Linked DNA regions of Caenorhabditis elegans. The protein of the gene in region 2 interacts with the protein of the main gene of each other region in a pairwise test. Each region holds a gene or a part of one and is shown on either strand. Other genes may lie near its edges.

Region 1 (9,546 bases), on a different chromosome or scaffold from region 2:
TTGTCGAATGTTTCCGATTTACGCATGTTTTTTCAAAAGTCTGTATGATTTTGGCTGTAATTTTTCGAAAACGAACTTTACCTATTCCCAGCGAGTTTCAGCAGAGGATAACAATAAATTGTAAGTCATTGATATCATATATTTTGTATTAGTATGTCGGAGCCATTATTATTGCATCCCTTTTCTTCTTTCGAAAACCAAAAAAAAACCAAGTGAACATTTTTGCCCTTTCAAAATTTTTTATTGCTAGTTACTTGTTCAGAGAAAATACATATTGATCTGGCAGAAAACATATACACTAAAGCAAAATTGAATACAAAAAAAACACGATCTAGGCATATTAGATAGGATAAGGGCAAGTTGAGTACATAGAAAACGAGGTATTTTCAATTTTTTTTTGATTGTCTTCACTTCACATTAATGTGACACTTTTGAGACAAACGATTAGTTGGGTTTTGTGGATTTTTTTGTTGCAATTTTCACAAATTTTTGCAGCTTCGCAAGCAAATTTTTCGGGATTGAACGAATTGAACGCCTGCGTTCTTGATGGAGGAGGTGATGGAAATTAGAAATTAGGGGCCTAAAAAGGGAAAACCTAGAATTAAATGAAAATTGGCCAATTCCTATAGGAGAAAGGAAATACGTGATCCAGCACATATGGAAGATTGGTTTTTGAATTTTCAGCAGAAATTCAGAAGGCGAAAAAAGGAAGATGAAAAAGAAAATATATGAACATGAAAAGTGAATAGATACAAATGGAATAGATATACACAATTTTTTTTAGTTCGAAATCATAAATTTCGACATATTGTTTTTGTGAATTGGACAATTTTACAAGTGTTTTTGGGGGGTTTGAGTTTTTCTTTTTCAGATGTTTTGTGTACACTATTTACAAAAAAAGCTCAGCTGCAAAAGACATACAAACGCTAGACACAGACTTACAATTGAAATATGGGTAGTTGAGAAAAATGAAGATTAGTTTCAGATTTTGAGGGGGAAAATGCAGTATGAAATATGATAAATGTTGTATGATTAGGGGAGTCAGATAGAGATGAAAAAGTGTACATCTTGATCTTATTTACACTGAAGTCTACAATTAGGCATTGATTTGTTTGAGTTGCTCCAGAACTTTTGAGAGGTTCTTCTCAATTGCTTCATATCTTGTTGGGAAATCGCATCTGAAAATTATTAATTTTTTAAAAAATAAAGTAAGTAAGCTATCTTCGATTCAGAAGGTTTTTCAAAATAATATTGAGTTCTTTTATACTTCCGAATGCAACCTAGGTCCATTGAAAGAGGGCGTTTGAAATAGGCCACTACATAAATTCAGCAGCAGAGGGAAACTTTTAGAAAAAAGTTCTAAAGAATCTAAATCTAGAAAAAAAAACATCTAAAACTAAATCTAGAATCTAAAAATTCTCCAGTGCATAATTTCACAATTTTAGAGGCTCTTAAAATTTCTCTCACTGTTGATTTTCGTGTCTGAGAAAATCCACACTCGGAGCAATTTTACGAGATAAAGTAGTGAAAATGTGCACTTAAATATTTTTATAATGACTTTTCAAACTCAAAGTGCTCCTCTTCAGATAAAATTTTTGTAGTGACCAATTTCAAAGATTCTTTTTCAAATCGTTAGGGTTTAATCGGAAGTCTCAATGTGAGCTGAGAAACCTTCATTCTTAAAAATTTATAAAGTTGCTTCAAAATTTCTGAGTATCTGGATTACCTTGGATGCTGAATTTCCGCTTCGATAGCAAGCCACTGTTTCATGAGCTTACTGAGTTGTGGCTTCAAAGCCAATGCCTCTTGTTTCTTCTCGATATATACATAGGCGAGTCCGTTTTCGACGATGGTCAATACCTGTGATAAGAAAAAAAAAATTATAAGACTTGCAAGAGATGCGGAACTTACCGTCTTACGGATATCGCGAAGTTTTTCTACGCCAGCGTAGGTACTTTTGAGTTTGCGAACTGCTTTCTCAAACTCGGTTTTCTTGGATGTAGAGAAACGAAGTTGACGGGCTTCACCACATACATCCGAGAATTCTTTCTTGATTTGCTTGGAGGCAACAATTGACTCGACGCAACGAGCCGGCAAGACAGCCGATGTCTCCAATTTTCTGACTGCTGCTCCAGTCATTTCATCACGAGACCAGTACGCAACTTCGAGCATAGCAAGATTTTGTGGACAGAAGACACGTCCACATCCTCCACACTCGGCACGAGATGCCTGATCTCGAACCTCCATCGTGTATCCGCACGCGCATTGGATGCGTTTCAGATATTCAGTCTTTTCGAGAACATGAAGCTCATATTCTTTCTCCCATTTTCCGATCCATGTCGCGAATGCGGAGCAAGTCATAGGGAAGTGAGGTTCACGTTCACACTTTGGACACCAGTGGATTCCACATGAGTAACATGAAGAAGTGTTGAATTCATTGGTGTTGTGGTCGATATGGACGAGTTGTTTACATGATGGACATTCTCCTATATCACCACCATCGACGTTGGCCAATGATTCAGTAGCAGCGATCTTGGTGTAAAAGTTCAAAAGTGGAAGTGGAATGATAGCTGGAAGGATATCATATGCCGATTGTCCATCTCCAAGAACAAATGGAATCTCCAATGGGATACATTTGGCGCGGATTTGATCAACGATGTGCTTGCAGAGACAATCACGGCATTGCCAGCTGTCATCCAATTCGAAGAGTTCTGAATTCTTGGTGCAATCGCAAGTTGCACACTTCAGCTTCTCAATGACTGGATCTTTCTCATCATCGGCATCTTCAAAGTCGAAATCATCAGTTTCAAAGTCGATTCGTTCAAATCGTTCTTCTGGCTCTTCGTTGCTCATTGCTTCGTCACGAAGAATGGAAGCCATTTTCTCAGCACTCATTACAGGCGCAGAAGTTGCCAACATTGAACTATTGAAGGCTGGTTGGAAGAAATCGCGTTTCAATTCGAATCGACTCTTTTGGGAACGATGAACATCGATGCATTCTGGGGCAGCGACACCTCCTTCTTTCCATTCAGCAACCAGCTTTGAGAGAATTGCAACAACTTCTTGAAGATTGGCTGCATGCTTCAAAAGACCTCTAAGAATCTGATAAGAGAATGGTCCGGATGGAGCAATATCAGAGTTGAGAAGTACTTTTAGATGTTCTTTCTTTGAAAGGATCGCTCGTTCGACAACAATCATCAGAATCGAAGCTCCATGTGGTTGTTTTTCTCCGAGGACAAGACGAGAAGCATCAATGGAAAGACGTGTACGTTCTGCATCAAGCCACTGAACGTATACTTTATTGTCAGCTTTCAACTCGTCCACTTCATCCTCCAAAGTATCCCACGTGGAAATATCCAAAAGAGTCCATTCGAAAGTATGTGGAGCACGGAGCACTTGGGAAATGTCCACAACGTTCAAAGGTCCACTTGACTCGTCTTCGGTTTCATCAGAAGTGATGACTCCGGCTTCTGATGGCTGAACACTCTCAATGCTCGAGCGTCGAACGAAAACTGGTTTTATGGTGCAAGATTCAGGGGTAATGTAGTCGCCAAGGCAGAATCTGAAATCCCGACTCGGTTTGTAGATGTATGCGTCGTCAATGTGAACACTCTGATGCATATCATCAATGGATGTTGACATATCATCACGATCCACTCGCTTCAGATTTTGACGAGTCTTTCCTGCCTTCCGTGTGTTGTAATTTCTATTGAAAAGCTTGCCAGCAAGCACTTTGTGATTCTTATGAGGTTTATAGATTGTGTATTGAACCTTCGGCTCTCCGTTTTCATCCAAAGAAACTTCTGATGTTTGGGAGCATTCGGAAGTCGTCGAAGCTTCTGATTCTTTCCGTGCTTTGCGTGTTTTCTTAGTATTTGTGGTGCCTGTGACAAGAAGTGTTTGAAGATTGGCTCCTTTACCGCCAGCGGTCTCGTGTCGCACAATTTCTCCATTTTTGTCAATTTCCGTCAATGACACCACATTGTCGATCGTGTCTGAAAATATTGAACAATTTGAATGGGAATTGTGAAATTGCACGAGCCACTCATGTGACTCTTTTGTATTGGGAGAAGGCAGTAAAGAACATGCACTTGTTGTAGGGGACATTGTACGCGCTCTTACGAATATTTATTTATACGGGAGAGAATCAAAAGAAGATGAATGATTGTAGTTTGTTTCCAAGTTTTCTGGATAGATCAAGTCCAAATTAAACAAAAAAATCATGTTTTGAAATCTCATTCCGAAAAATCTAGATCGTTGCAACTTTTTAAAAGTAGAGTACACTCAAGGGAGAATGGTTTGGAAGAGTTCCTATTTTGCTAAAATGACCAAATTTCACATGAAAATAAAAAACAAATCCTCAAAATTACTCAAAAAGCTTTTGAAAAATTTGGCAATTTACCAAAACTTTGCCTGAAAATTTTGAAAAATATTTTTAAATAATTGGACAGTGTTTTAGTCAAGTGTTAGATTATTGTAAGTTTGTTTTGACAAAATTCAAACTGACCATACTCCTTTAAAACAAAAAAAGGGTATATCATTTCTGCAATACTTTGAGTTTGTATCTCAAAAATGATAAGAACAAAAGTTGATATTCGTTTACCTTAAACATTTAAAAAATGTGTTTTTTGTGGTATCCTAACAGTTAGAATTACTTAATTTAATTATTTGTAAAAGCTGATTTTTTTTAATCTCAAAAATTTCAAACCAATCAGGAACAAATTTTCAATGCACGTGTAGTGTTTTGGATTCAAAATGTCTCAATATAATCAAGTACATCTTGTCCTAATAAATAATTCCACCAACGGAAAAGTCTTGTGATTCCAATTGTCTCTACCAGATCATTTGATCGACAACTCCTGACACCACCAGTCACCCCCTCCGTTTCCCAAAAGAACGAGCCAGCACACACATACACACTGAAAAGTTATTGCTTATCGGGAGGAGAGTCAAAGCAGTGTCATGTGTTTTTCGATCAACTATTCATTTTTCGTGTACTTTGACTTTGGCATGCAATAGAATCTAGTCGTTTTTTTATGAATTGTTCTCGCGGCGCACTAGGAAGAAAAAATGAAGCGAATAAAACATCATAATGGCTATAAAAATTGAAGAGATAACGTGTGATGAGGCTTCATAGACCGAAAACTTTTACAGTATCCTACCTTTAGCAGTTAAGACACGTTCGACAATCTGCACAGGCATTGACGATCTTCCATCAACGCCCGTCGTCTCCCACGTTGTCTCAGCCTCCAACGCCTCCCAACGTTTGTTCTTATTCATTGAGTACAGGACGTTCGAGGCGATGCCATCGTGGCTTTCCGAAGCGACGCGCTCCTTGCGCTTCTTTCCGAGCACGTGGTTCGGATCGTCGATGGTCTTGACGAGGAATGCGCCAGCCTTGGCGGCCTGGCGTGCATGGCGGTTGGCCACCGCGCTACGTCTGCCCTTCTCCTTCCTGCCCGTCAGTTTGCCACTCAATTCCGGGAATTCCGTTTCGCTGAAAATAAGCTTTTATGTCAATCAGTTTATTAGTTTATAGATTTAGTAGAGTAGTGATCATAATACGTTTTGACACATTTTTAATTACCTATTCTTAAATCAACTCCAAAGCGGCAAAGATCTTACCGACATTGCCTACTGGTAGATGGCATCATCGGATTAGTAGTGGCCAAATACAGTGAAACACTATTAAACATAATAGTCGATTGTTTTGTCAAAGTCTATAGTTGAAAAAGTCTAAGTAACCGAGCGCCGGCCTTCGCCTGGCTCTATTTATACACGAGACATTCATGTTTTTGGGTGCCACGTGACTACACGTTTGGCGACCGCTTGTGGCACCGGTGATGACATCATCACGAGGAAAAATGTGAAAGTTGTAGTGAGGAACTGTGAGTGGGAGATAGAGAACACGTGCTTGATCGCTTTGCTTCTCTGAGTATCCGAGTTTTGAATAATATATTCGTCAGGGACAAACAACCACAACTGAACTATGTTGATCGGAGAAAAAAAAAACATGTCTAAGATCAGGAAACAAAACTTCTTGATTCATGGTTACGTTGCCCAAATAAGGGCACCACAATGCATCAAGGCTAGGGCAGAAAGTTGGTCAGCAAAGATTTTTCAAAAAAAAAAATTCAGGTTATGTCTGCCTACAGACTACGTTTGATTGTTTGAACCAGATCAAACCACATGAAATGTCTAGATCCCTCTAATCCCTACAAAGTGTTCAAGTTCCCAAGGTGACTACCATCGAGACAGATGTTCTTTCCCACCTGTAACAGTTACTCAAACATCTGCTCAAAGTACACATCGTCCTCCTACAGTAGATAAGATAACAGAAAACCAAAAAACTTTGTTCGAAACAAAGATGCTATCGAAATACAACGTTATCAAAGTCGTTTCAGGGAAGTTTTCACTCGTCGGAGCCCTATAGTCTAGAACATTGATCTTTTCTACAGTAACTCCCCCCCCCCCCCCCCCCCCCACAAAAGTTTTCCTACTCACTAATAGAATCAAAGAATCAACGGGCGATTTAGATTTAGATTCAGATTCGAGTGAATCCAGTCCTATGTGTTCATCGGAAATGGAAATGGCAACGAAAATACAGCAGCAACAATTTTCTCAACGAAAAGTGGTCACGAGTGACACCGACACGATGTCTCACATGCTTTATGCAGAATTTATAACTATTTTTGAGGCGGCAGACATTCTATGTGGCACGACAAAAAACGTTCATTTTATGGCCGTATACTTTTGAAACTATAAAATTCTATACAGATCGAGTTGTTTTAGTGTCTAGGTTTATAAACTAGTTGTTACTAAAACCTCAAAAAATATACAATTGGAAAGTATTTTAAAAACGAATTCTATGTGTGCTGAAAGTTTTTTCGTCGAAAACTTACTTGAGTTCAAATCCGACATCCTTGTCTTGGACGGACATGAAGCAGGTTTCAGGAGAGGAGGAAGAGGGAGACTGCGCTGAGCCTGCAAATATACAAATAAATGAAAAATATTATGCACAAAGTTAGAAGATTATTGATAAAACGGCAAGAGGTGCAGAAACGTAGGTAGAAAAATAAACGGGCGGTACAAGAAAAGAGCCACCCAGAGAAAAAGAGGGGGAACGGCGACGAAACCAGCGACAAACTGTCTGGTGCTCTATCTCGTTTTGCTCCGGCAGCAGGAGAAGCAACAGCAGTAAGTCAACCACACAATGTGTCTATTTTTGAGTACAAGTCTCAGAAAACCTCAGGACTATGAAACGAAGAGGAGGAGAACGAGGAAAAGAGAGCAGAGATGCAGGAAGCGGGGGGCAGCCAACAGCAGCCAGCAGCTAGAGGGTCATCGTCATGTGATTGAGATGGAAGGAAATCGAAAGGAAACACAGGCTTTTTTCCAATTTTCTTCTCGCTTTTTTTGACTTGTATTGTTTCTATCATCTGATCATCATCTTCTCAAATAATTTTGTACATTTCCAAGAAATGAGGTGTTACATTGAGAGAGGAAACAGTCAAGTGGAAACTTTCAAATTTCCAAATTAAATTATTGCAAAGTCACATTGCGTCAAATGTAAACAGAATTTCCAAGTTGCAAGAAAATGTTCACTTTTCAGGCCATAAATTGCATGACTACTTTTAAATTAGGCTTGATCAAGCTTACTAAAAAAATCTGCAAGATTTGTCCTATTAGTCTAGAACCACCTTCGCTCTACTTTGATAGGCCATATTTCAATTGGCGATAGCTTTATCAAAACATTTTCAAGAGTGAAAATGTGTATCAAATATTTCTCTAAGTTTTCATAGTTGAAACATTTTTGATGAAGCCAACGGCGATCGAGATACAAACTGTCAAAGTGGGACGCCTAAGGGAAATTATTGTTTAAAAAATTTAAATTTCTAGAGATGATCAAAAGTCTTGCAATAGAATCACCAAGCGTTCCATTAAAATTTAGACCAAATTCGAATGCATGATGTGAGTGTCTTCGGGTGTTAGATTGCCCCCCAGTAAAGCACCCAACTGGGGTGGTTCGATGAAGGCGTAGAGAAGGGAAAACATGTACACAGAGAATATAGGGTGTGAGGGAAAGAAGCAAAATGAGATGAAGGGAGGGACGATGGTCGGTCACCAATTATAGTGGCAGATGTCGTCGTCGGTGTAGTACATTGGAAAATCTAGACCTTTGGAAACAGAGTTTCTATGAAATTTATGAGCGCGCATGGCTGTTGGTGGAAGGTGTTACGCGTCATTGATTTGTTAGCCAGATTTGAGTGTTTTGTTTATTATTTGTATCTGTGTATCTAGGTCAATGTGTTGAATTGTTGTTGGTAGTAAGGTAAACTGTTATTTTTTTTTAATAGAGAGGGGTTTCAAAATTGAGTTTAGAGTGTTTTTTTAATAGAGAGGGGTTTCAAAATTGAGTTTAGAGTGTATCTTCAGCTGGAATTTAATCTGAATTTACTTACAATTAGGCTAATCTACCATTTAAAAAAAAACTGTACATTTTCAAAAAAAATTTCTCAAAACTTTTTGTCAATGTTTTGGTAAATTGCCAAATTTTCCAAAAATGTGAACTTTTTGAGTTTGCTGCTGCAGGTTCGAACCCAAGATTTCAAAAAAAAAATCAAAGTTTTACCATGCTATTCGGTCCTTTTAGTACAACTTCAACAAATTTCCCTATTGCCGATATTCCCCCTAAAAATTAATATCTGCTTTATGCCTACGCTCTAGTAGGTGCTACGTGATTTTTTCAATTCAAAGACTATTGCTCCGGAAAATCAAAAAATTATGAAATATGAATCTCTGATCCGGCTTAGAGGTAAACCTCAGATTCTCTCTAGCGAAAGCTACCGGGCAGTTAAACTAATATCTTTGTTTGAAATATATATATATATATATATATATATATATATATATATATATATATATATATATATATATATAATTTGTTAGCATTGCGCTTTTTTTGGAGTAAATGAACAAAATTTTGAAGATTAAAATCTAACTAGTCTAAGTTTCAAAAGAATATATATTTATTTCAGGGCTTTTGTGCTGGCGCCAAAACGTCTGTAATCGTTTTTAAAGAATATTTGTAAATTCAGGCAAAAATTCAGAAAAGAGGCCAAGGGCCGATAGGTTTCAGGCAGGCGCCAGGCCTAGAAACCTTATGCCTATTATGGAAGCCCTAACTTTTTTGCATTTTTATCGATAAGCGCAGGTTTCATAATGTGACTAACTAGTGGTTCGAAAAGCAACTGGTCACCTTTTTAGTCTCGCTTATCGTGTCGTACAGTAACATACACACCCTAATAACAGGTTCGATTGATGTCAAATTCAGAAACCAAACCCAAAAGAAAAAGAACTTTAACGATTGGAAGACGATGACTTCTCTTTTTTCTTCTTCTTCCACCATTTTGTCGCCCGTCAGCTGATTCTGATTGTTCAAGACGAGAAAACGAAACGAAAAGAGAAACGAGGTGGGAAGTAGAAGAGGCATTGAGGCGTACCAGGCGGCAGAAGAACTATGTTTCTTTTCTTTTTTTGTTGCTG
Region 2 (5,543 bases):
CATTATTATTCGAAATCCGTCAAAATCCTTAGAATATACGGCTTGAGAATGTGAAAGATCAAAGGAAAATTAAATAACACAAAGAAGCTTTTCAGCTGCTCACCGCAACATTCTACGATTCGGACAACGACGGAGTCGGAGATTTCGCTGGAATCTCACAGAAAATCGATTTCCTCCGGAAGATCGGAGTCACCACTGTCTATCCAACACCGGTCATCAAGATTCATAAGGATGAGTACTTCAACTCGTACGATGTCGTAGATCACAATTCCGTCGATGAGAGATTCGGAACTGAGGAGCAGTTTAAGGAGCTTATCGACACAGTTCATAATAGAGCAATGTATCTTGTGATGGATCTCCCTGTGTCTACCATTGATCTCTCCCACCCATGGTTCGAGAGTCGTGACGAGTCGAAATTCGTTATCGCAAAACCGACAGATCCTGGATTCAACGAGTCCAACTTCTACCCATTCCATGGAGCTAATAATATTAAGTATGAGACGCCGAACTATTTCAATTAATTATTCTTGTTCTAAATCTAATTTTAATTCAGGTATCTTGGCTACCCATCAAGCCAGAATCCAGTGTTGAACTGGAAGAACGCTGACGTCAAATCGACAATCAATGGAGCTATTCAAAAATTCTTGGATCTAGGAGTCGACGGATTCCATATCGATCATATTAGTCAATTGGCTGTTGACTCTAAAGGAAGACCAAATGTAAGCCAACTTCCTAAAGAAACATACAAATTATATTCGAAATTTCAGCATGATGAAGCCGTTAAAGTGCTCGAGGAGCTCACGAAATCTGTCCAAATATATGTTGAATCAAGGGATGAGTTGGTAGATAAGAAGATGTATGGTTTTTCTTGTTAAAATTTGAAAAAAAATCAAGAGAATATTTTAGTGTCCTCTTCTCCTCACTAAAAGACGTTGAAGACTTGCACGTGAAGGCCACAGAGACCGGACTTCTTCACTACGTTATTGACAACTCTTTCGCCAATTTGGACGAGAAGAAATGTCAGCCACACGTCGCAAAATGTGTTCATGACGCTTTGAATGCGGCTTATCAAAGACATGAGGTAATTTTATTTCGACTTTCACTTAAAATCTGAGAGTTCAGGTCGAAAAGTATAGGAAACCGGTAAGTTTCCTAGATATTAGAACTGTGTTTGTGGTAGTTGGGTAGAAAACTAAAAATTTAATTGATTTTTTTTAGATCTAAGTCTATAGACTAGAACCCGCTAAGACTTTTGCAATTGTTTCATTATTTTCCAGGTGGCCAAGTACACTCCACACTGGCAATTCTCAAACTCTGAAGCTTCTCGTCTGGCGTCTCGTTTCGAATCAGCCACCGCCCATCTTCTCTCATTCCTTCAATTGACACTTCCCGGAGCGAATTCTGTGTATTATGGACAAGAATACGGTCTGAAAGACGCGATGAGCAAGAACGGAGAGTTCAAGCAAATGGGTGTAATGCAGTGGTATCCAGCTGGAAAAGATCATCACGGATTCAGTGGAAACGATGCTCCGATTTTCTTCCCGGAAAGCGATGATAAATTGGAGTTGGACAATTATAATGTAGGGTTTAATATTGATTTGAAAAATAATAGTTTTATGTTTTTATAGACTCAATTTGAAACTGAAAACTCTGCTCTCAAGATCTACCGTAAGCTTGCAAAGCTTCGCCAACGCGACGAGGCTCTGATTGTTGGAGAAACCGTTCGTGATGAGCTGATCAACGAAGACGTGATTCTGTTCTCTCGCTACGTGCAGGCTGTCAATAACACTGCAACTGGATCCACGTTCATTGTGGCTCTGAACTTTGGAGATAAGGAGCAGAAGATCGATTTCTCGATTGAGCCCGCTTCAAAATTGATTCCATCAAACAAGGATCTTTTGAATGCAGAGGTGAGATTTAATATTCTTTGTATTTTGTGTAAATTTTAAAATTACAGATCTCTGTTGTTACCGCCAACGTCACCGACTACAGAGTTCGAGATCATCACAACTTTGTCGAATCGCCTCTGGTACTTCCACCAAAGCAGGCCGTCCTCCTCAAACTATAAAATTCCCATCTGAATATATTTTATCTGTCTCTTTCCCTTTGGAAACCTAATTCCTTGTTCATCTTCAAATTTTCATGTTCTAACAAAAAGTTTCTACTTTCTCAAAATGAAAAAGAGTTTCCAAATTTACCATTTTTGTACACTGCCAATTGAAAGCTAAAAATTCAGAAAGATCATGCGTTAGTTTATTCGGGGGGTGTCTAGATGCAAAAATAATTATAATACAACAATCTAGAAATATACAATCGAAATGTGAGATCATTGTTCAGAATACAAGTGGTAATAATTGTTTCTAATGTACATGAATTTGTTAGTCGTTGGGTCAGTCGCTGAGCAGGCAGCTCTTCACAATCATTGCTGTCACCAGGTAAGGATCGCAGTTGGATGATGGACGACGGTCTTCGAGATAGCCCTAAAAATTTGAAAATCTTGTTTTGGAACATTGATTAAATTTAAACTGACCTTCGTCTCGTCAGCGACTTGACGTGGAATCCGAATTGAGCACGCACGATTGGCGATTCCCCAGGAGAACTTGTCAGCTTGACTAGTCTCGTGGCGACCGGTGAGGCGTCGAAGATTGTCCCGTCCTCCATTTGGATCGTAAACCGACATGGCTTCCGAATGAGTTCTTTCGAGGCCTTTCATAGCTTCGAAAATGGCGTTCAGACCGTTTGGTCTTCGCATTTCAATTGTCGAGAAGTTGGTATGACAACCGGCACCGTTCCAGTCTCCCATGGTAACCTTTGGCTTGGGATCCAATGAAACGCACACTCCAAATTGTTCAGCGACTCTGAAAAATAATATTGGATTTTGTATTTTTTGAAAGTTTATTACCTATGCAAAATGTATCTTGCCATCCAGAGTTGATCACCCATATCGATACCTTCACAGGTTCCGATCTGGAACTCCCATTGTCCTGGAGTGACTTCCGCGTTGGTGCCGAAGATGTTGATTCCAGCGTGAAGACAGGCACGGTAGTGTGTCTCCACCACTTCCCGTCCAAAAGCGCGATCCGCTCCAACTCCACAGTAATATTTTCCTTGTGGAGCTGGATATCCATGCTTTGGCCACCCGAGTGGATGTTCATCTCTGTCGACAATCAGATATTCTTGCTCCATTCCAAACCATGGATGATGCTCGGCTACTTTCTTCATGATGGCAGCGCAATTTTGACGATGGTTTGTTGCTGGAAATAATGAAAGATTCAAGGAAGAACTTTAAAATTATAAAATACCTGTTGGCTTCATAGTTTCGTCCAGAGTTTCGCACATCACAAGCACATTGTGTCCTTGAAGAAATGGGTCTGGGAAAACTGCAACAGGCCTCAAATAGCGATCAGAATTCAATCCTTCAGCTTGGCCAGTTGAAGAGCCATCATAGTTCCAGATTGGATACTCTGACAAGTATTGAGGCTTTAAATTGAACGTACGAGTCTTTGCACGGAGTTGTTCGCCGGTTCCATCAATCCAGACGTATGTCGCTTGGCACTTCGACGGATGAGCCGGGAGTCCCATGAAATGATCGATGGTGGCTTGACCGAGAGGAAGACGAGTTTCGTAGTTCAAGTGGGACATGATGACGACGAGAGGTGAGCTGAAAGTAATAAATTGAAATGATTCTGTAAACATAAAGAAAAAATATGGAAAGAAAACAAATTTGTGTATAAAAACGCTCGCAAAATCGAAAAAAAAGCTGAATTAGTGAAGAAAAAATGGCATAGGATATCCTATTGGTTGTCCAAAGTTTTAATAAAACAGAAAACACCAAGAAAACGAAGAAAAATCATCGAAACATCGAAGAAAATTGGCGCCGGCGCCGCTGAAAATTTAATTTTCATTGTCGTTTGTTGCGTCGCGGGCGACCGCGACGCGGCAAAATTCTAGCGCGAATTTAAAATTTGAACGCAAACCCGGATATATCCGGATATCGAACTCGTTTAATAAAGTATTTTGCGTATGCAAAATAGAAAAAACAGTTGGTTCAAAAAAACTTCCATTACGAGTTTATTTTCAGATAACCGAAAAAGTTTTCAGATTCAGATTTTCTATGTCTTATTTAAAATTTTAAAATAGTGTATTTAGATGGGCCCGCGTTTATGCGTCTTTAAAAAAAAATTTTTTAAGCCTTTGAGGAAAATATTCGAATATTTGGGTTTAATTTGGTCAAACAAAAAGGCTACTGTAATGTTGTGGTACTGTAGAATGATGTTTAAAACTAGTTTTTAACTTCCAAAGGCATAAAGAGTACTGTAGTAGTACTGTAACGTTTTTTTTTTAATAAAGACGATTTTGGAACGCCCCGGAAATATCTTGGAAGTTCGAGAAAATATAGGAAACAAGAAAATTTCTGGAAAATCTATAGAAATTCGAAAAAGTGGAAAGGCTGTAGATTTATCTTTTTCTTTTTCGCTTTTCGTTTTTCATCTCCAAAAAAAAATTTCGGCACATGGTACCCGCTAAGAACCAGCAAACTTCTGATCAGATCGATTCGAGATACCCACGAGTGATCAAGGATATCTCTAAATGAAATTCAAATTCATGATACCAACTGCGCTCCATAGATAAATCAGGTTCAAATTTCTCAATATTTGTGCAAGTTCAAAATGTCAAGGCTGATTGAGCATACACATCCCGCATCCGTTCTATCAATATAATATCAAAGTGATGAATCGTAAATTTCGCATTCTCATTTCCATTTCTATCAACCCGAAACTAACAAACAAAAGGTTGTGCGCGCCGCCCGTCTCAGTCCGTAGAAAGGTGTCCAAAACAGTATTTGATGCTCTGCGATGGGCTCGACCGGAGGGAGACCATTGTGTTGACTATCTCTTTTCGAATCAAAAAGGAAATTCTATCCTGCTTTTCTCCTAGTTTTTATCACTTTTCGCCTATTGTTTAGAGACACTTTTGGTCGGCCACTGCCTTAAAGGCCACTTCTTGCATTTTGATACTCTTTGCCCTTTGGGTCTTGGCACGATTGGTTTTCTTAAAATTAAAATGTATAATATCTATTTTAACTTTAGACAATTCCAACATAGACTATACGCCTTTAATCTAATTACATTGTTCAATTGAAAGTTACTGTACCCCTTCTTACCTTGCCCAGGAAGTTCAAAAAAAAAATTTTTTGTCAACATTCTGTTTTTGCGTTTGAAGGTACACACATTATTTTGGGTCCCACCGCGATCTCTGCTGGGATCTAATGGAATAATTGGCGTGTGCCTTTGAATGTCGAAACTCACATTTTGTAAAGGTATTTGTAATTTGACATTTTTTTGTAATTTTTGGTTTTCCCGGAGGCTGGCCGAGTTTCCTTTTTTTCAGCCACATGTCAAGCAAGGCCCTGTGGGTTCAGTGACCCTTCTCATCCCGAAAATTTCATTTTTTCCAAGTGTCGAAACTCTTTCTTTAAAAAAAACACGAATTCACGAGACAAAGCACTTGTTCACTTCTCACCTTGTTCCCATATTTGTCCT
Region 3 (5,760 bases), on a different chromosome or scaffold from region 2:
GTGTGCTTTCAAAGTTTGATAATTACAATAATTGAGAAATTTTCAAAATACCACTTTGATTTCACAATACAGTTCTTGAAAAACTGCACCAATTATCGTCTCAACCACTTGAATGGTCACCATCCTCAGTTTTCAAATGTTTGTCAGCGTCTTCCTCACTCATTCATAAATTTTCTGTTTCTCCTGTAGGTTCTTTTTTGTCCTCTTCCCCTTCTACTTGTCTTCCCCTCATTCTCCATTTTTTGCCCCTTTCAACAAGTGGGGGCATGAAAAATGGATGCATGTCAAAAAAAGTATGCATGTGCCGCCGCAATGACTTATTACCTTCATCGCTTGTCAGTTTGCGTGCCATTCTCTATTGAATATCTTCATCTTGTTGATTCGCATTAGCAGCAGCACTCCTACCAATGGAGGGCATTCCAACAGAATTTATAAATTATTTTTACAGCAAAAACATACACTTATAGCCGTCTCGCTATGCCATGATGCGGAGCCAGCTTCGAAATTCTTTGAACGTCGTTGCAGTCATAATACTTCTTTTACCAACCGCCACGTGGCAAAATCATCTAGAAGTGAGTTGTTATTTCAAAAAAAATGTACATAAAAAAATACTTCTGCAATAAGCAAAAAAAAATCAAACTTCGTGGACCGTCTTGTGCTCTGCGATCGGAACAATAAATTGAGCTTGGCCAGCCTATCTAAAAACTGTGGAATTGTTAGAAGAATTTTTTTTAGTTTGGAAAATATTGTTGCTGTACTACAAATTCTGAAAAAAACATATCCAGTAAACCTGAATTTTTCCAATAATTAAAATGGATAGAAAACTCGTGATAGAAAAACTAGAACATTTTGATAATTTCCAAAATAAAAAAAAAACAATTCCTCAATATCAGCAATTCTCTTAGCTGCTATGAATAGGTCGAGATAAATAAAAGCTTTAACACTTGTGTATCCCAACTATATATATTTTTTAAAATTTAAGTGTTTTTAATTCAAAAATCACTTTTTCCCATATTAAAAAGTTTCAAAATTTAAAGACTATATTCAATGTTTATTCATTCATATATTTCCTCAAATCATACAACACCGGAAGTACATAGAATTTTCAGAATCGGAGTAAGAAAACACTTTTTTTTTTTAATTTGAAAAAAAAAGAATTCATAAGAAAATTTTATTAATATCTTGGCATATCACGGACCATAGCCAAGGTCTCCTCAATTTTTGAGATAAATTTGTCTTTCGGGCGGGAAGTTAGCTGCACAAAGTTGGATCCGATGATTCTTGAGTCTTGACTGCGAACGTAAGGGTGGGATTGGTAGAGGTATGGGGAGAGTGGGGAGCTGGAAGAATTTTGGTTTAACGGAAATTTTTTTAACTGAAAATATAGACTAGTTTTTTTTCCTTCCTTTTTTGTAAGGTCGAAGTGAGAAAGAATGGGATATTTTGAATAGCTGTTCAGCATTTTTTTTGAAAAAAAAATCCAATCTTGTATTAAAATTGGCACAAATCAAACTTTATTCAATTGCTAAAAATTGCCTACCTGTCAAAATCCTTATAATCAATAAGCGTTTTTCTATTGTTTTTTTCATATTCCTCATCTTCGCGAGACTTGTAGCTGCTCAGTGGCTGAAATTTTGAAATTCAAAAAATTTTAAAAGTCTTTTAAACTTACTGGTCTATAGCTTGAAATGCTCGAATACAAGTTTTTCTTTGGCTCTCCGGTAAAGTCCTCGTAATCTTCCTTATCATATGAAGCCAATTCCCGTTCCAAATCCTTCTTTCGTCTTTCACGTTCAGCCTCGTAACTTGCCGCAAAATATTCTGACGATGATTTTGGCTCATATACTTGGAAACTACGGTAGTTCGAAGCCTGAAAAATACACTTATTTAAATTTCAAGTTTAAAAAAGTTACCGCTGGATTTTTGAGCCCCAACTCGGCGTAGAGACTCTCGAGAGGCATTTTCTCGAAGAAGTGCTCTCTATCGTACTTGTCGTCAAGAGCACTTCTTCCGAACTCACGTTCAGCTCTCAACATGCTAGTGGCTGACAATCCGTGGTCTCGCACCAGTTGATCCTTATCCTAAAATAGAAATATTGTTAACCATGGAAACAAAATTGAGTGCTTAGAATTTATTTTAAAATAAAAGCAACTCACGATTGCTCACTGTTCTCCTATAATAGTTTTCGAAGTCAACCAAAATTGCTAGTTTCATGTTTTGATTATGTTTTATGTAGGTTTTTGAACTTACAGCATTGCAAGAAATCGTTCGCAAACCTAATCGTTCGAAAAGTTTGACAGAAAATTTTTTTAATTTTTTTTTAATATTTGGCCATGTTGGGCTTTTATAAAAGTTTGCGCACAAAACGTCCAATTTTTAAATTAAAAAAAAACAACTGAGGATTATGGTGGTGATTTTCTGCGGATTTTTCTGGGTTCCACAAATCACAATAGTTATTTGAATAAATCTTTAATGAGTCGCAGAGCCAAGAAATTAACGGGCGTTTTTTTGTTGAAATGCCACTTATTCCAATTTAAAAGCAGAAACGTACAAGGGGCCTTCATAATTTTAATTGAAAGTACATCGAACTATAGAAAAATAAAAACTGTTCCAAAACATTACTTTTGCTCTGAGACGATTCGTTGGATGAAAAATATTCTTGACATAGCTCTCGTAGCTCTTTGTGTGAGCCCCACCGGGCACAATATCTCGATCAAAACTTGAATTTCCTCTACTTCCAGCGGCCGGCTTACGGTTATGCCATCCAAGGTATTCGGACATCTGAACAGTGGGAAAAATTTCGAAAAACTACAGTTTCACGTTAAAATTTAAAAAAACAGTCAGCTAAAGTCAAAATCACTGACAAACAAAAATAATCAACAAAACGTTTTGACTCGCCACAACGAATAAATGCGTGAGATAGGCAGGAGGATGTTGGAAAACGAAAGAAGAGCAGTTCTCTTCAGTTGTATTACACAATATCTTCTAACTTCTCAATGAGTGAAATAGTGAGGTTACCTGAAGAGACGCAGGAAACCGAGATGCCATTACATCATGCCAATCGTGCTTTCGGTGCGAGGAAGCAGGATGCGGGATGGATGGCAAAAAATGAGGGGAAAACATTTAGAGTTGTCATGTGACATGGAATTAATTTGATAGTTTCATATGATTAAAAATTACTCTCAAACCGGGAAAGACCCGGCTAACTTGAAATTTTCAAAATCTAGCAAAAATATTGAAATTTTTCAGATCAATGACTGGGAACTAATTGGAAGCAGAACATATTCTTGGAAAGGAAACGAAGTATTAAGATGTAAACATTGGGATAAAGTTGCAATCAGATGGCACTTATCAACATGTACCGAACATGGAGTTTGCGATGGAGGAACCAATGTGGATTACGCTACTCGAGCCCAAAACTGGACCGAGATGCCAGTTTGGAGAAATGCGTTCACCTATGTGCAGATTCCGGGTCAACTGCAGGTAATTCAATGCATTCAGCTTTTAATAATATTTTTAATTCTAGAAAACAAAATTTCTACGACTAGGTCTTACTGGCTACGACAGTAGGAAAACCCAACTCGAAGCATTTTCACCACTAAAAATTGATGTGGATTGGAGATGGCAAGTTACTCGGGACGGATGCAATAATTTCGTTGTCAGGTATGTAACATTCTACAAAAGTTTGAAACGAGATTAATAGTAAGCCAAAACATCAATTTGGTTAAATTTTCACATGAAATATGACACGTTGAGTCTGTTAACTGCGGATTTATATCAACAAAAATATCTTTAAAAGTGGATATATCGCTTCTATGGCAGTTAAGAAATTTAACCTTTTTTTGAAAGAATAGCATAGTCTTGAAGATTGTGAATTCTAATGAACGTACGATCGCCGCAAGATGGCAATCTCTAAAGTTTGGTACTTCTACGCAATTGCGTTAAATGTTGGAATATAACCTATTCTGATGCACATTTTTGGCAGTAGGTACGGCAGTAAGCGAGGCGAAATAGGCAGGAAAGTAGTCAGTTTTCAATCAAAATTTTAATTCAATGTTTTTTTTTTCAGAATGTCCGCAATGAGCATGATCAACGAAAAAATGCGTCCAAAATTGGAGCGATTCTGCCGTCTCTTTGACAAAGACCATTTCGTAGATTGTACTAATCTCTAGTTTTTTGTTCCAAAATGTTCATCAGCTTCCCCACACCGCCTATCATCCTCTACTTGTGTCCTCTAACTCCTAAAGGGTCGAATAATTTCAAAAAACATGTCAAAATGTGATTCACTTTTCATAAGTTCGTCCCCCTTCCCCCATCCCCTCCACTGCTTTATCTTCTGTAAATATGAGTGCTCTCTCAATTTATAACAGGTATCCCATATATCAAAAATATTGATCATTTTATTGAATCAAGTAATAATAAACAATATCCAAGTTTTTTGAGATCATCATTGTTTCAATTTACCCGTGTTAGTCGAGAATCAGAAAATTGAATTAAAAAAAAACAATAATTCAAAAACAAGAATATAAATTTTAAAAACCAATAAAATCAAAAATCTCCTTTTCGATTCCCATTCAAAAGTGGTTGATAAATTGTTTCGACAGTGCTTAGAGCCCTGTTCTTGGCTACCAGTGGAGCACACGATGATGATCGTTTTTTCTCTTGAATTGGCATTGAAGTACGTCTGGATGAAGCCGTGCTAAGTTTTGTCGTATGAACAAGTGAACCAGTGATAGAATCTGAAAATTTGAATAATTTTAAATTTGCATTGTTGCAGATTGGGGATTTGTGAGTGCTGCAAGATCGCTCTAATACAAATATTTTGAAAAAGTTCAAAACTTGAAAATTGCCTTTGTTTTAGGGGTTGAGAAAACAATATCGGCTTTAAAAATTCCAAACAAAAAATTCAAACTGATTAACATTAGAGCGCTCTTGCACTTCTGAATCATGATGGATACTGCTTGCAAGCATGGGTTCAGCGTATGGATTACAGCGACTTTATGGTATTTTGCAAAATGTTCCAGAATCTAGTTGGAGTTTAATTATATTTTTTTGAACGTTTTTCATGTGAGTTATAAGATCTAAAAAGATATTTTTGATTTCTGACAATTTTATTATTTAAGAAAACACGTATTTCCTCTACTAATCTTTCAACCTCAAATAGTCTGGAATCCCTACGAGCCAATTGAAAATTAACCATGCAGACCCTATTGATGTTGTACTAACTTGTAGTCACACCAGACACAGGAAAGTTTTAGTAAATGTAACGTAGGCTTTTTTTTAACCCAATGGAACATTTTGCAAACCCCATAAGCTTAAATCAGTAGGTGTAGTTAAAAATAGGTTAACCAAGTTAGGTGAAATGACAAATCACACAGATGGTAGCAGGTGAAGTAAAACAGATTTGAGGGAAAGAGATTTGGAAATCAAATGTGCAAAAACTGCAAAGCGTGACAATTTTTGGTGGCGGCCCTTCTTGTGCTCGTGTATGAACAAAAAATTGTGCAAAATGTATGCGAACCGTTACGAGATGATCCAGACTCTCGCCAGTGACGAATTATGGTGAATAGTGTTGCAAGATTCTCGTGGAGAGCAATAACTCGGCCTGAACGCGGGCGGTATAAAAATGCAAAAGTTGAAAAATATTTTAGAAAACAAACAAAAAATCAATGCACTAAAAACAAAGGAATAACTATCGGGGGAATGTGAGTGTCAGTGTGTTAGAAGGAGGTGATTCAAAAACTCAAACAATCCAGGTGA

The links.
Region 1: the proteins of gln-5 (region 2) and F26F12.3 interact in a two-hybrid assay, tested with the Caenorhabditis elegans proteins (one large-scale study listed by BioGRID).
Region 3: the proteins of gln-5 (region 2) and F40A3.6 interact in a two-hybrid assay, tested with the Caenorhabditis elegans proteins (one large-scale study listed by BioGRID).

Annotation. Positions count from the first base shown.
Region 1 is NC_003283.11:5,838,736-5,848,281, forward strand, and holds F26F12.3 (IBR domain-containing protein), read right to left. Parts: upstream 6,985-9,546; 5' UTR 6,941-6,984; coding exon 6,903-6,940; intron 6,743-6,902; exon of another isoform or gene 6,595-6,742; intron 5,892-6,594; exon of another isoform or gene 5,754-5,891; intron 5,751-5,753; exon of another isoform or gene 5,588-5,750; intron 5,498-5,587; coding exon 5,163-5,497; intron 4,920-5,162; exon of another isoform or gene 3,996-4,919; coding exon 1,912-3,995; intron 1,861-1,911; coding exon 1,727-1,860; intron 1,179-1,726; coding exon 1,097-1,178; 3' UTR 222-1,096; downstream 1-221.
Region 2 is NC_003282.8:17,269,992-17,275,534, forward strand, and holds gln-5 (glutamine synthetase), read right to left. Parts: upstream 3,662-5,543; 5' UTR 3,643-3,661; coding exon 3,303-3,642; intron 3,255-3,302; coding exon 2,903-3,254; intron 2,859-2,902; coding exon 2,531-2,858; intron 2,481-2,530; coding exon 2,391-2,480; 3' UTR 2,240-2,390; downstream 1-2,239. Other genes in the region: atgp-1 (alpha-glucosidase), read left to right, coding at 96-493, 554-719, 768-856, 907-1,081, 1,278-1,580, 1,629-1,910, 1,958-2,068.
Region 3 is NC_003283.11:7,891,082-7,896,841, forward strand, and holds F40A3.6 (uncharacterized protein), read right to left. Parts: upstream 2,782-5,760; coding exon 2,623-2,781; intron 2,082-2,622; coding exon 1,914-2,081; intron 1,871-1,913; coding exon 1,673-1,870; intron 1,627-1,672; coding exon 1,541-1,626; intron 1,341-1,540; coding exon 1,175-1,340; 3' UTR 1,037-1,174; downstream 1-1,036. Other genes in the region: F40A3.1 (Conserved secreted protein), read left to right, coding at 486-572, 3,250-3,483, 3,527-3,663, 4,070-4,172; F40A3.7 (G-protein coupled receptors family 1 profile domain-containing protein), read right to left, coding at 4,549-4,739.